Linked DNA regions of Rattus norvegicus. The protein of the gene in region 2 interacts with the protein of the main gene of each other region in a pairwise test. Links are inferred from orthologs where the notes say so. Each region holds a gene or a part of one and is shown on either strand. Other genes may lie near its edges.

Evidence for each region.
Region 1: the proteins of Dzip1 (region 2) and Ppp2r5a interact in binary tests that used the Homo sapiens proteins (3 or more experiments, as listed by UniProt). The link is inferred for Rattus norvegicus from reciprocal best matches to the Homo sapiens genes DZIP1 and PPP2R5A.

What each region holds. Positions count from the first base shown.
Region 1 is NC_086031.1:105,502,563-105,509,914, forward strand, and holds the start of Ppp2r5a (serine/threonine-protein phosphatase 2A 56 kDa regulatory subunit alpha isoform), read right to left. Parts: upstream 4,206-7,352; 5' UTR 4,029-4,205; coding exon 3,848-4,028; intron 1-3,847. UniProt on the Homo sapiens protein: The B regulatory subunit might modulate substrate selectivity and catalytic activity, and might also direct the localization of the catalytic enzyme to a particular subcellular compartment.
Region 2 is NC_086033.1:102,374,553-102,381,110, forward strand, and holds part of Dzip1 (DAZ interacting zinc finger protein 1), read right to left. Parts: intron 5,853-6,558; coding exon 5,790-5,852; intron 3,643-5,789; coding exon 3,506-3,642; intron 1,238-3,505; coding exon 1,075-1,237; intron 676-1,074; coding exon 546-675; intron 1-545. UniProt on the Homo sapiens protein: Molecular adapter that recruits protein complexes required for cilium assembly and function to the cilium basal body.

The DNA.
Region 1 (7,352 bases), on a different chromosome or scaffold from region 2:
GGATATGACAAGTCGGAAAACAATCCCAAAATAACTAAAATGTTATAACCCATTGAAGCATTTCTCTTAACTTACTCAGATGAGTTTCAACTTTTATATTTTCCCTATTTACAAAGTATTGTGTGAATATCCATGAACCTTAAACATTAAATGGGGGGGGAGAAGGGGAGGAGTGCCCCTCCCCAAATCAAAACAACTTAAAAAAAAAATTCTGTCACAATTCACTCAGAAGACCACATACCTCAACAAAACAAGAGCATACATTTCCCCCTAATTCTAAGAAGGCTACTTCAAGCTACTTCTTCAGTCAGCATTAATGTTCCGGTCTCAGTCTTCAGAGATCAACAATGAAACTGGATGATTTTCCAAGTTTTTTACTTCATCTTTTTAAAAATTTGTTCGTCGTTTGTTTGCTTATTTATTTGTATATGGGTGTTCGTCTGTGAACCACTTGTGTGCCTGGTGTCCTCACAGATCAGAGGAGGGCTTTGGATCCTCTGGAACTGTTGTTAGAGAGGTTGTGATCAGAACCTAGGTCCTCTGGAAGAAGAGCCAGTGCTCTTAACCAGTGAGCCACCTTTCCAGCCACTCTGCCTTAAGAAGAGTTCGATCTCAAAATCAGTTTCTGTTCTTTGCTGTTTATTAAGAGAAATGTGTCTGTATAGCCATAATGACAAACTTCCTTTTTTTGGTAAGAAATTATTACTACAGGCTGGATAGATGGTTAGAAGGTTAGAAGTATGTACTACTCCCAGAGGACTGCAGTTCGATTCCCAGCACCTAAGTTAGAGCTGTTCACAACCATCTGTAAGATCAGCCTGCTCCAGGGCATCCAGCTCCCGGGCATCCTGCTCCAGGGCATCCACCACCCCTGAGCTCTACAGACAACAGTACCCATGCACCTCATACGCATAATTAAAAGTAATGTTCCGGAAAAGCTTTTATTTAAGTACTATTAATAATTCTACATTTAAAAATATTTTAATCTGTATTTCAAACACAAGAGAATGGAGGCTAGCTTTATTACAGGCACTTAAATTATTTCATTTAATCCCTCCAATCCAGGGAGATAAGGAAAATAACCCAGGAAGATAAAAAAACTTTCCACCCTGACTACCTCTCCTGGCCAGACTTTCTCAACCATACCACTTCAAGTTTATGTAAAATGAGTTTACAGCAAAACTACTGGCATTTGACCAGAGTCCCAAAGTCGGACAAAGCACCATCCAGATAACCACAGGTCCGAAACTAACCCATTTAAACCTCAAAAAAAGATATTTGTGAAAATACACTGAGCCCCAGACTGTCAGATAGCAGCCTAATAGCATTACCATAGTAGGTTAAAAGGCACATAACAAGTGTCAATGATACAGTTTTAGGCTGTTCCAGTTGTCATGGACAATACTGGTTCATGTGCTCTTGTTTTGTTCTCAAAGATAATTATTTGAAATACTAAGCTGTACGTACACGGAAAGGACCAGCTATTTTACCAAGCCAATCCTTTCAGAAATTAAGCCAAATTAGGCTAAACACACTGAAAGGCTACCTTTTTTAAACAAGTCCCCTAATTGTTCATTACCATATAAGTGTTAGGCAGAAAAACCTACATGAACGTAAGTTTCAGATCAGAAACAGTGATTCCCACATACTGAACCTGGTTTCATTTTCTGGCCCTCGGAGGAATTACTATTTATTTTTAAATCAAGCAACCCACTCACCTACAGGATTCTGCGAAAATAAACTGAAAAGGTTGGATTGTTTTGTTAATCCTTACTCACTGTCTGCTTTTAAGAAAACGACTTGGCACCCTTCCAGTTTAGATCCATGTGGACAAAGTATAAAGCAAGCAGGTTGGCTGATATAAAATACGTGAAAGATCTTGGATGCCCACAGATATCTGAATCACTCCACCGTAAGATTGTATTTCAGAGCAGTAAGAGAAATTCTCTCTCATACGAAAGGGTTTTCTGCTGTTGTTTTTGTTAAGCCCACAAATGGGGGAAAATACTACTGACAGAAAAAGCTCACCACACGGTGGTATCAAGGGCACTGCCAAAGTACCAAGTAAAACAACTAAATTAAAAAAAAAAAAAAAAAAAACAACAAAAACCAAACCAAACCAACCAAACAACCAAACAAAAAACCCAAAACACTTTTCAAGCCTTTTGACAACTGAATTTAAAGCTGTTTTTCCTACTGAGGGTTTTATTTTCAAGTAAAACGTTGTACTTCCTCAATTGAATCTGCACCAGCTTATCATGAATAGTACCTTATGAGGAACACTATACATGCAAATGCCTGAAATTAACCTAGGGTTTCAATTTTTTTTTTTTTTTAACTACCGACCAAATTCTATACCTGAAAACATTGGCCATACCTGCTACATCTTCAATCAAATATCATGTAACTTTGAATCTGATTACTGATCTGTGAATTTGCCAGTCTTAAAGGCAAAATCTATCACAGAGGCATCTCTTGAGACTAACCAGATGTTCAAAATTCAATTATTAGATCAGAGGAACTAAGAAGTACAACACTAAGAAGAAAACCACGTTAGCAAATTAAATACATATGAAAAAATGCTAGTATCGAGACTTTTGAACTAAAATTAACACGATAAACTAATTAAAACCAATCAAAGAATAAAATAACTTTTTAATTTAAGTATAAAAGCTTAAACCTCTGAATAGCAATTCACTATCCTAATAGGTAGGACAGGGTTACTTTTCGGCTCTGGCTGCACTCCACTGACTGTGCTGTATCAGTTTGAACAATTCTGGCATGTTAAAGGGCAATCAATCAACAAACGAGACAGCACACACCAAACATAAACTATTTTCCAAAGTCCGTGTGAGTCTACCCTGTGGTACGTCCTTGATTCAGAAGCACCCCTAGAGGCAGATGTAGAGTCTAAATGGGGTTCCAAGCTCTTGCTGGTCAACTGTTGATTTGATCTAGGGTTTTCTTTACACTCCTTGCCAAACTAAGTGAGGATTCATAGACTCAAAGACAAATCACAACCAGATTGGCCTTGAAAGGGATGCTGGATCTTTGTCAAACGAATTGAAAAATCTGCTGATCATTTATCTATTTTGGCATGAGTCTTTAATTTCTTGGCCTTGTAAATCATTCTCTAGGTTTCTATCAGGTTACAAGAATTTCTTAAATATCTAGGAACGTGATTATCGTTTCCACTAATGACATCTAGCTCATAAAAGGCAAGGATGTGAAATTAGTAAATCAAAAGATAGTAATTCTCAAAGAATAAGCCAGAACCAGTAAACAACTCGTGAAAAGTCCCCAAACGTGGTGGGAAAAGTAAGTAAGCCAAAAGGGGTGCCAAGCATTCCTGCGAGGCATTAGGCACGGATACCAATTTGAATTTACTTACAAAACCTTACAAAAGTCCTTGGAAGCACAGCCGTGCGAACCAAGTTCCCGTTGCACTACAAAGAAACACGATTCCTTCATAACCTCTCCAAAGACAATCGAGGTCTTCTATGAAATAACATTTACGTCTAACGAGACTGTAAGGTGTCACTTGGTCCCGGTTTCAAGCTAGTTCTGTATAGCTAAACCTACAGGCCAGCTAACTCGGCAGCAGTTTGTTCGGACCCTGGATGTGGCGACTGAGGGACAAGTAGAGAAAGTGATGAACTAGCTAAGCGTGGAGAAAACCAGAGCCGAGGCTCAGCGGAGTAGGGAGTAGGGGGACTGGACGACGAAAGGGAACGCAGGTACCTGGCGACCCTGGAGTCGCCAAGGCAGGGCAGGTGGGGCAAGCGCGCAGGTGGGAAGGGGAGTGGGGCTTGCTCCGGGAGCGCGGAGCAGGGGCAGCTGGGGTTACCTTTGAGCTGGGGCAGGGGGTGCAGCTCCGCCTGGCTGCCCTGGCTGCGGAACTGCGACGAGCCCTGAGAGCGCTTCTGCCTCTGCGCCTTGCGCACCGATTTCCGGGTGAAGCCGTCCACTTTCTCCGAGGCCGAGATGGCGGCGCAGGCAACTGGTGCGGGCGGCGACGGCGACGACATCTCGGCGACCCGGGCGCTCGGCGCCTGCCGAGGCGACTGGCCCGGGAAATCGGCGGGGCACGGGGACGGGCACGGCGAGCCTGCGCCCCTGCGTCCCGGGCCCCGGCCGCGCCGCCCTCGCGCTCCGCAAGCTGCTCCTCACCCGACAGCGCCTCACAGCCGCATCCCCGCGCCGCGAGGCCACCTCCCGGGGCTGGCGGAGGGGAGGGCGGGGGCGCGCGGGCCGCACAAGTTGCTGACGCCCGGCGCCGAGGGCGGGCGGAGGCGAGCCCGAAGTTTGGACGGCTGGGGAGAGCGCGCGGGTGCGGACGCCGGGCGCGCCTCGCGGCCCCTTGGCGCGCCGAGCCCGGGCAGATCCTCAGCGGCTGCTGCCCGCGCCGTCCGCCCGGCCGGGAGCCTCCTCCCGGGGCGCTTCCATCGCGGGTCCGCGCGAGCTGCCGCCGAGCTCTCGTTCTCCTGTCAGCGCTGGCCCCTCATCGCCCGGGGCGGCCACCCGCGCCCCGATCTTTGGAGAGTCGCCCTCGCTCAGCCTCCCGCGCCCACCGGCCGCCCACGGAGCACGCCCGGGGTAGCAACTGCTACAACTTGAGAGGGTGGCTGGTACGGGCGAGGGGGGACTCCGTGCGCGTGCGTGCGCGCTCCCGCGGCCCGGGGGAGGTCCTCGCGGGGGGTGGAGGGAGGAGTTTGACTGACAACTTCCGCGGGGTCCCACTAGCCTCCCGAGTCTCCGGAGGGGGCCGGGGCGGGAAAGCATGCCAGTTCCCTCGACCAATCGCAGAGCTAAGCGGCAGACGGGGAGGGGGCGTGGCCTCCCGGATGTCTATCAAGAGTCCATAGCTGGGTGGGAAGGAGGGAGGGGGCTATGTGACAGACGCGGGCCACAACCAATCGCAAGTGAAGTCAGTGAGCGGGGTGCCTTGTGCGTCACAACTGTAAAGGAGAGCTCTCAGGAGGGAGAAAGGGGAAACGCGGCGCCGCGGTCGGCTTCCGTGTACTCTGGCGCTACGCTTCAACTCTAATTGTCCTCCAGACAGCGAGTGAGAGGGAAACTACACAGTCAGCTCAAAAAGCAGAAGAGTGTCCCCCCCTTCTCTCTGCGTCCTGGGGACCAATGAGGACCTAAAGCGAGGGCCGGGGCGCCCAAGAACGCCAGGCATTGCGTCAGTGGAGCGGGGGCGGGGCCGAGGTCGTGTCAGAGCGGAGTGATTGACAGGCCAAAGAGCCCGGGGAGAGGAATGAGCTTGTCCAATCGGAGCGCGGTGCTAGGCTCCTGGGCGGGCCTTCGTTCTCTCTGGTCCTAAACCGCGTAATTGGTGGTTGGGGAATCCATTTGTAGCTCCCAAGGTCTCGGCGCCGCGGTTCACTGAGCGCTGATCTCGCGTGGGGTTTGGGCAAGCTCGTTTCTACCACTTCAGAGAACTCTGCAAGTCTACTCCCTCTGAAAAGAAGTTTCCCGTCTCGAACTTAGCCCAAGTTTAGCCTTCAGTCATCTGTAGCCAAGTTCAGATTAGCTGATTTGGGGTTTTGGGATCTCTTCCTAGGAGATTCCGTCTAAGTTTTATATTTAAAGCCAAGGACTGCTCATGTTAGCTTTGGGCATCCGTATGAGCTTCAACAGTAAGTGATCTCCCCTCTCCAATAGTCTCTGCAGTCTCTCCTGCAAGTCTTACACCTTTTCCTTTTGACATAAAAACTGAGGTGAAGTAGACTGGCCTGATGTTCGAGGAGGATCGAGAAGTATGCAAAAGTAGAGTTCTAGACCCACACTCGAAACATTCCCTTAGCTAAATTATATAGCCAACCTAGGTGTACAACAGAGGAATGCAAAAGGAAATATGATGTGTATACAGAATTTTCCCACCATAAAGAGCAAAATTATATCATTTGTAAGAAAAGAGGCCCAACCGGAGATAATCATATTAGGCTGATTAAGCCAGTCTCAAAAACATAAAAACATCTTGTTTCCTCTTGTTTGCGGTTCCTAGATTTTACATAGGTATGTTAAATCAAGAATTTGCAGAATGAAAGTAGACATGAAATTGTCTAAGGGAATTAAAGGGATTAATGGAAGGGGAATATGTTTGATGTACAAGAAATACTTGTATGAAATTTCTAATATAAAATTAAATATAAAAAACAAAAAGTTATATACATTCTTTCCATCAAAGAGGCTCAGTCAGACTGCATCAGCAACTTCAAGACCTTTCTTATCCAATCCAGACTACCTCACAATGTTCAAAGCTTTTTTTTTCTTTTAACAATTTGCAAATGAACCACCCATCATAATTCAGGGGTTTGAAGATCACTGCCAGCTGGCCTTTCAAAGGGCCAGTTTTACATATATTTCCAGATTATAATATAATTAGATCATTCCCCCTTCCCTCCAAACCACCATTCTTGCATCTCTCAAATTCATAGTCTCTTTTTCTTTAGTTGTTTATGTATGTATATATAGAGATAGGTATATTCCTAGGTATATAAATAAGACCTGCTCAATCCCTATAATGTTACTTGTACATGTATGTGTCAGGGGTGACCATTTGGGATTCGATAACCAATGAGTGTGCTCTTCTCCAGTTCTCAGCTTTTCTTAGTTACATGTAGTTCTTTGTCTTATGTCCCTGCAGAATAGAGTTCAAGTTCAGTCTGACTCCTGACTTGCCAGGCATGTGTATATGCTCTTCCTCATCCTCTTTTTCTTCTAATCCTCTACCTCCTACTCTTCCTCCTCCTTTTCCTTCTCCTCCTCTTCTTTCTCCCCCTTCTTCCAGTTCAGGCACACTATCCCACAAAGTCATCATGCTTTCTTGATACTTAGAGTTGTTCCAACATCTTGAAATGATCCACCTCATCCCCGTTTGTTGAACCTTCCAAGCCCAGCTAGACACCTATCCTCTGTGAAGCTATGCACAATAATCTGCCCTGAGTGGATGTCTCCCTTAGTGTTCCGATTGTATATATTATTCATATCCTCAGGACCTGCCACCCCAGATGGCAGTGTGCTCCTTCTCCTCTGAAGATTCAGAAGCACCAAGAAAGCAGGAACTGGGTTACTTAACTGCTCTTAGCATCTACTGAAATAGATAGGCACTATTGAACAATACAATTTTCAGCTCTCAATAGCTTCTGAAAGTGTAGTTACAAAATTCCTTATTTCAAAAAGAACTGAGGCTATTATTTGAAATGCAGACTCCTGGACCTGATGTAGAATATCAGAAAATATGGAGAAACAGTTGGATGCCTGTTTTTAATAAGCTCTCTATTGTTGTCAGAGAAGTCAGAAGTCACACTTCTCTAGTCACCTAAAGTATGCAGGTTTGGACT
Region 2 (6,558 bases):
CCCCAGTTGGCAAAGGGGGAAGATTAGGAGGTGCGTCACTGGAGACAGGCTTTGAGGTTTCAATGACCCAGCCCTTCTTGGTTAGCTTTCTCCACATGTGCTTGTGGGCTGGGCTGTAAGAAAGCTCTCAGTGAAAGCTCCAGAGCCACGCCTGCCTGCCATGCCTGCCTGCCTGCCGCCATACTGCCGCCATACTGCCCTCTGTGATGGTCTTTGACTCTTAGCTCTCCAGACCCGTGAGCCCCAAATCGAATGCTTTCTTTATAAGTTGCTTTGGTAATAGTGCTTTGTCACAGCGACTGAAAAGTAACCATGGCACTGCCTCTGAAAGACGAAGGGACCAGAGCCTGTTCCCCGTGTGAGGACATAGGACACAATGGCTCTGGAGACAGAACTTGACCTCTGACACTCTGATTCTGAACTTCCAGCCTCCAACACAAATCCCTGTTGTTCTGCTGATCCAGTCCAGGATGTATGATTACAGCGACTTCAGTCGGCTATGGCAAAGCAGTGTTTTTGTTTTCCTTACAGTTGGAAATACTCACTTTGGGGCGGACGCTTTATCAGTGAACATAGTTTTCTGCCTGACCAACGGTCTGCTTCTGGGGGGAAGCTGGGTTGCTTTGGGTACTTCTTCGGGTGGAAAGGAGGCCATGGGAGGGGCATGGCGCCTATCTGGAAGAGAAGTATCCTTTGTGAGTCTCTGCTGCCTTTACAGTAAAGCGTAAAGTCTAACTAAACGTACACTATCCCTAAGTCACGGAAAAGAACAGGGCGCCTCTCAGGTCTGGGGTCCAGAACAAGGGCTTCATTATACTGATTTTCCCCCCTTTCTTTTGAGACAGGTCTCTTGTAGCCCAGGCTGGCCTTGCATCACTCCTGGTCTACCTGCCCTCACCTCCTGAGCACTAAGATTACAGGTAGTCATCCACCCCAAGGTGGGAGTCAGACCCAGCATCTCAAGTACAGGCAGTAAGAGAGCAGCCGGTGCCAAAGTCTACAAACGTGGGAAAGGCTGTCAAACTTGGCTCTCCTTTGTGGCTGTGGAGTGCCAGGCGGCAGCGGCGGGCTTACCTGAAGAGTGTGATGCTCTCTCTCCCATTTTACAGATCAGCTGATGCTCCAGGTTTTCTCGAATTTGCTGAATGTCGGGCACCTGTTTTGCTAGGTCGTGTCTGGCTACTTGCATGGCTTTAAGCGATCTATTCAAGATCTCGCATGGAATACCTTGGATATTCTGAAGGAGTAAGGTACTGTGTCAATCCCTTATCATCAACCTTGGAGGTTTCTCATCCGTAGACGTACGTCAGCAGTAACTCTGCTCTTTTGGGGTCCAGGGTCATTTACGGTATGGGATCTAGCATATAACAAACTCTCCTGGTTCTAAAAGGAGCTTGCAATACAGCTGTGCCTGTCTATGGCTGGTCAAGCCACAACAGAATGCAAGTGAAGCCACCAGGACTAGAGGAATCCCAAGAAGAAAGGCTGTCAGAGGCCCTGGCCTTCAGAGAACGGTGAAGGGGGTTGGGCAGGCGCTCAGCTGCGCTCTCATGAAGACTGGCATTAGCATGTCAGTCAGTGGCAACTGAGGACGCCTTGTGAGAAAGACAGGACAGCAGGATAGAAGTAGACATGTCCCACGGGCTCACCCTATAAAGATTTGTGTGACAAGACCAAAGAGAAGAAACTGAGTGCCAACCTTGGAGCTCGGCACTCATCCGCAGAGAGGAGAGCTGTGCAGTTATGGGCGTGTCTTGTACAGCTGAAGTATGTTAGTGTGAATTCAGAGGTGACCGAGGGACTCTGTAGCTGACGGGGACGCAGGCAGAAGGGAAGGTACTCTTACTTCCAGGGTTGGTTCTGCACTAATGCCCCACTCATGAGCACTTCCTCTCCCCAGTCTCCCTTCACCTCCCCTCTCTTCTGTGCTCCCTGTCATGACCCCACACGGCCCAGGAGGGAGGTGTCTGTCACCAGAGAAGTGTCATGTCCACGCTTCCTCTATCCTCCGCTGTTCCTCTGATCTGCCCAATGTCTTCTGGTCTCTTCAGAGGGTCAAGGACTTCTTACACTTTCTTTAATCGTCAGGGTTAATGTCTGCCTTCCTACACCTTGTAGTTAGTGGGGAGGATCTGATGTCATACAGCTGTCGGCCTTTCCTAATTAACACCCGGAATTTCGAATAGTTTCCACCAGTGTCCCAAACATGGCTGATCCAGAAGTGGGAGTGTCTTTCTAAAGAGCAATAGGAACTGGCAAGCGTTTGAAGTAGTAACACTAGCGTTGCACAAGCACAGCCCATCAAGGCAGGGGAAGGCCAGGCTCCTATGGTCAAGTCAGTGTGAATGAAGTGAAGTCTGCTGACTCGAAAGTCAGTGTGAATGAAGAGTTAAACAAGGAAAAGTCACTGAAGGTCCAAAGCAGATCTGGACGCATGCAAGGGTTTCCACGTGACAGAAGCGTGATTTCGAATGAACGGGGAAACCAGGGTCACACAAGCAATGATATCAACTCCATCAACTGGAAATCGAGTCAAACTTATCTAATCCTGAACCAACGTGAGTGCATATGTGTACATGTGCACTCACACACGCACACATGCACGCAGAGGAAACAAGCAGAAATGTTTCCAAGCACTAGGTGAAAAACCATAAATGAGGCTCTGATCAAAATTAAAACCCAGGAAACCCATGGGAACGGCAAGCACAGAAATCTAGTCTCAAGAGCGTCTGTATAGGAACCGTGACACTGTACAGATGTCTCTGATTTCCCTGGCCTTAGCAGGGCTAAGAATCCCCACAGAGAGTCTATGTGGAGATTACAGACTGACGGTACTAACAACTGACTGAAGACCTGGAGTGATTGAGCCCTTCTGCCCGTTGAGAGGGAGCGTAGATTGGCGCATTTGATAAAACGATTCAGCTGCAGCTATGACGTTAAACACGGCTGCCTCTTCACCCAGCAATGCCATTCCTAGAAATGCTTCCAAGAGGGAAATGATGCCTGTCTTGATTGCCTATGCTCACAGAAAAGGCGTAGTAGTTCAGAGTCACACAGGAACCTGGCACAGCCACTCTCAAAAGGAGCGTTAAAACTCCAATGCGTTTAGATGCTATAGTAGAGTAAATACAGGCCAGACTGCTCGCGCACGAAACAGACGAGAAGCATCGTCAGAGGAGGCAAGACGCAGAATACTATGCAGCACCCAGACGCACCCTCGGGCTCCTCCAGCTGCGGGAACCTAGCCCAGTTTCCCTCTGAAACAAGTCATAATGACATTGACGCTGAGTCCTACTCCCCCGCCTATGAGTAAGTCTGGATTTGTTGAGGTCTTAGACACACACCAGGTTCTAGCGAGTGTCACGCAGGGCTCTGCTAACCTGAGTCATCTTAGCGTTTAGTCTCCGAATTCCGACAGGGTGAAGAAGTCTGTTCTTCTCTCTGTGTGTCCTGATTTTGAAAGTGGAATCTAAAGGAGCGAATGTCCAGAAAACGAGGGACGTACCTCGCTGATCCCGAAGCTTCTCAGTTTATTCCCCAGCTCCTTCTCCAGGTTGGTCCTCAGCTCCTTAGGGGTCGGGTTGGTATTTGGCGTTTTCCTTACATGCGTCTTTTTATTTGTTTTCTGCTCATTTTCTCGCCCTGAAGAAGAAGAAGAAGATTTAAAGAGAATTATACAAACCCATTCCAAGCAGAAAATCAAAACGCGCAGCTTTAAGGCAGGAAGTAAACGTCTGTAAAGATGTTGAGGTCTTGACTAATTTCATAAGGCTTAGGTATCTCAGCTTCTGTAAGTCTCCCTCAGAACATGAGTGACTTCTGAGACTCCTTACTGCTCACCCGCATTAGAGTTGATCGACTTAAGAGGTAGATAGAATATATATTTCTTTAATGTTTTATCAGTGGGAGTATTTCCCAAAATGTCCCTAGGCTTACTTAGAATTTATCTTAGGGAGAGAAGAGGTCCAATTTGTTTTAAATTTCTTTAAGTTTTGAGGAGATAACTTAGTGAATGCTAAGGCACACCACTTTGCTGTCTAGTCAGCCAGGGTAGGGCTCCCAGACTCTCCGTGCTAACACTGGAGCTAGTAAGTAAAAAGTTAGAGGCAACTCGTAAAGACACATGAAAATATACCTCATTAAAAAAGACACGTTTTTCAGAAGTGCCAATGATTAACGCAGCAACGCCAAGACTCGGACATATGTACCACGTAGATATTATGAACAGGACTGGTTTAGTCAATTTTCAGTTTGTATTTGTAGCTTTATAAAAATAAGAAAGAGTGGTAAAATCCCAGGAAGCCCAGGAGTTATAAGAACTACTAAAATTTTACATGTTATGGCTGAAGTGCTCAGCAGTCTCGAGCACACGTTGCTCTTCCAGAGGTTCTGGGTTCAGATCCCAGTGACCGCGTCAGGCAGCCGATTGCTGCCCATAGCTCTCCCTCCAAGGGACTCCAGCGCCCTCCTCTGGCCTTTGCAAGCACGGCACTCACAATGACAAACTACAATAGGACGTTTTTTTGAAGATTACAGAACCTCCCCTCCTGACAGAAGTGGTTAAGAACGGAACCCTCATATTGATTACCGAATAGCTTCCTCCTTAAGAGGTGATAAATTGTGAAGCATTATTCCCGGTAAGAAAAAAATTACTGATCAGGGGGAAATATGTCAGTGGATGTGTATATATAGTAGTTTGCATATACATATGTATATATATATATATATATATATATATATATATATATATATAAAATTATTTGGAAGGAAACTTTTGCATTACTCCTTTTGGTCTTCATTAACAGAGCAGGTGTTCTTGTCCTAATTTGTCTAAACGGCATGCTTTCGGAAATGACGTCAAACATTAGAAACCACTCCTTGTCAAACTGACTGTTCCCAGCACTCAGGAGGCAGAGGCATGCGGATCTCTGTAAGTTCGAGGCTACTCTAGTTTATGGAGTGAGTTCCAGAGCAACGAGGGGCTGCACAGAGGCCCCGTTAGAAGAAAACAAACAAAACAAAGTCCCACAAAGAACCCTGATTGTTTACAGCAGACACCTGGAGTCACGGGGCTTGGGGAGGACGCAGACTTCAAGCACAGCTGGAAAACATGAAATCCGGCCTCAGAAAGCAATGATATACACTTTCTCGTAAAGTTTAAAAAAAGATATGTAAAAGTGATTTTTTTTAGGAATGCCAAAAAGAAATATGTAAGCAAAAATAATTTATCAACTCAGTCCTATGACAGCTCCCACATTGCATGCACACTGAAGGTATTTCCTCTATTTCGTCCCCAGTGCTTACATCCTGTGTTCATTTTTGACATTAAGAGAGATTAGGGGACCGGGCTACCGCTCCCAGGTAGAACCCTTGTCTAGCGTGTGCAAGCTCTGAGTTCCAGTATTTGGAGATGGAAACTGTACTCATTCATTTCAGACTAACACGGTGAGACAGTTACTCTGGCACAGTTTCACATCATCGGGTATACGATACAGGAGTCACTCTGTCAGCCAGTCAGGGAGTATCTGTACTGAAATAAAGGAGCTTTGCTTTTAAGTTTCCTGACATAAGAGATTTCTTATTAACTTACCTGCATACAGCCTCCACAAAGCATAAGATTTAGGAACACTAGGGGAACAAGATAACATGGCACAGTATATCACACAGGTCGAATCTACGGCCCTCATATAAGGGTCGCTCTTGCTTTGGGTATGGTGTGTGGTATGGCACAGGCTTGTACTTCCGAGGTCTAGATCTGAGTAAACAAGTAAACCTCAGAGCTCTGTTACCTTTTTCCTCCTCTGAAGAAAGTTCTGCTATTGGTTCCAGTATGTGTGAAGAGAACACTTGCTCTGTTAATGAAGAAAAAGAGGGGTCATACAAATACATCTGCTTGCCTCCAAGTAATTTATACAGACATACATACATATACACAAACTACTGTATGCACATATCCACTGATATATTTTGCCTAAATAGCAAAGATCTACTGGGAAAATACTAAGGCAGTGACTTCTGATTTTATTATTTTAGTCTATTTATTTATTCCTTTTCTTTAAAAGATAGGATCTTATGGAGTCGAGCTAGCCTTGAACTCTCTGTATAGTGAACAGTGACCTTGAACCTTGATCCTGCCTCCACCTCCTAAATGGGTGAGTTGGGAGCACGATTCGCCGTGCCTGGCTGAGGCAGAAACAACTGATCACTTCTCCAGGAACTCTCCAATTTCTAGGTACTCTATAGAACTTCAAATGCCACTTTAAAATTATATATTTTAAGGATTTAAGTTTTAAATCTCTCACTCATTCATCTCTTGCTGACATGAGATGCAACTTCAAAAATACTTTCCCATGAGCCACCTGTCTAAAATACAACAGTAGAGATAAAGTGAAATAGAAGCCGGAACTTCCAAGAGGGATGTATTAGCCTGGATAGCTCACACCTTTGCCTGGCCGCCTGCCGGAACCCTTGACTGTTGGCTAGGAGAAGCTGGCAAAGATTAAGACCCAGAATGTGAAGCAGCGCAGGTGAGCAGCAATACAGAGACACGGTCTTGCA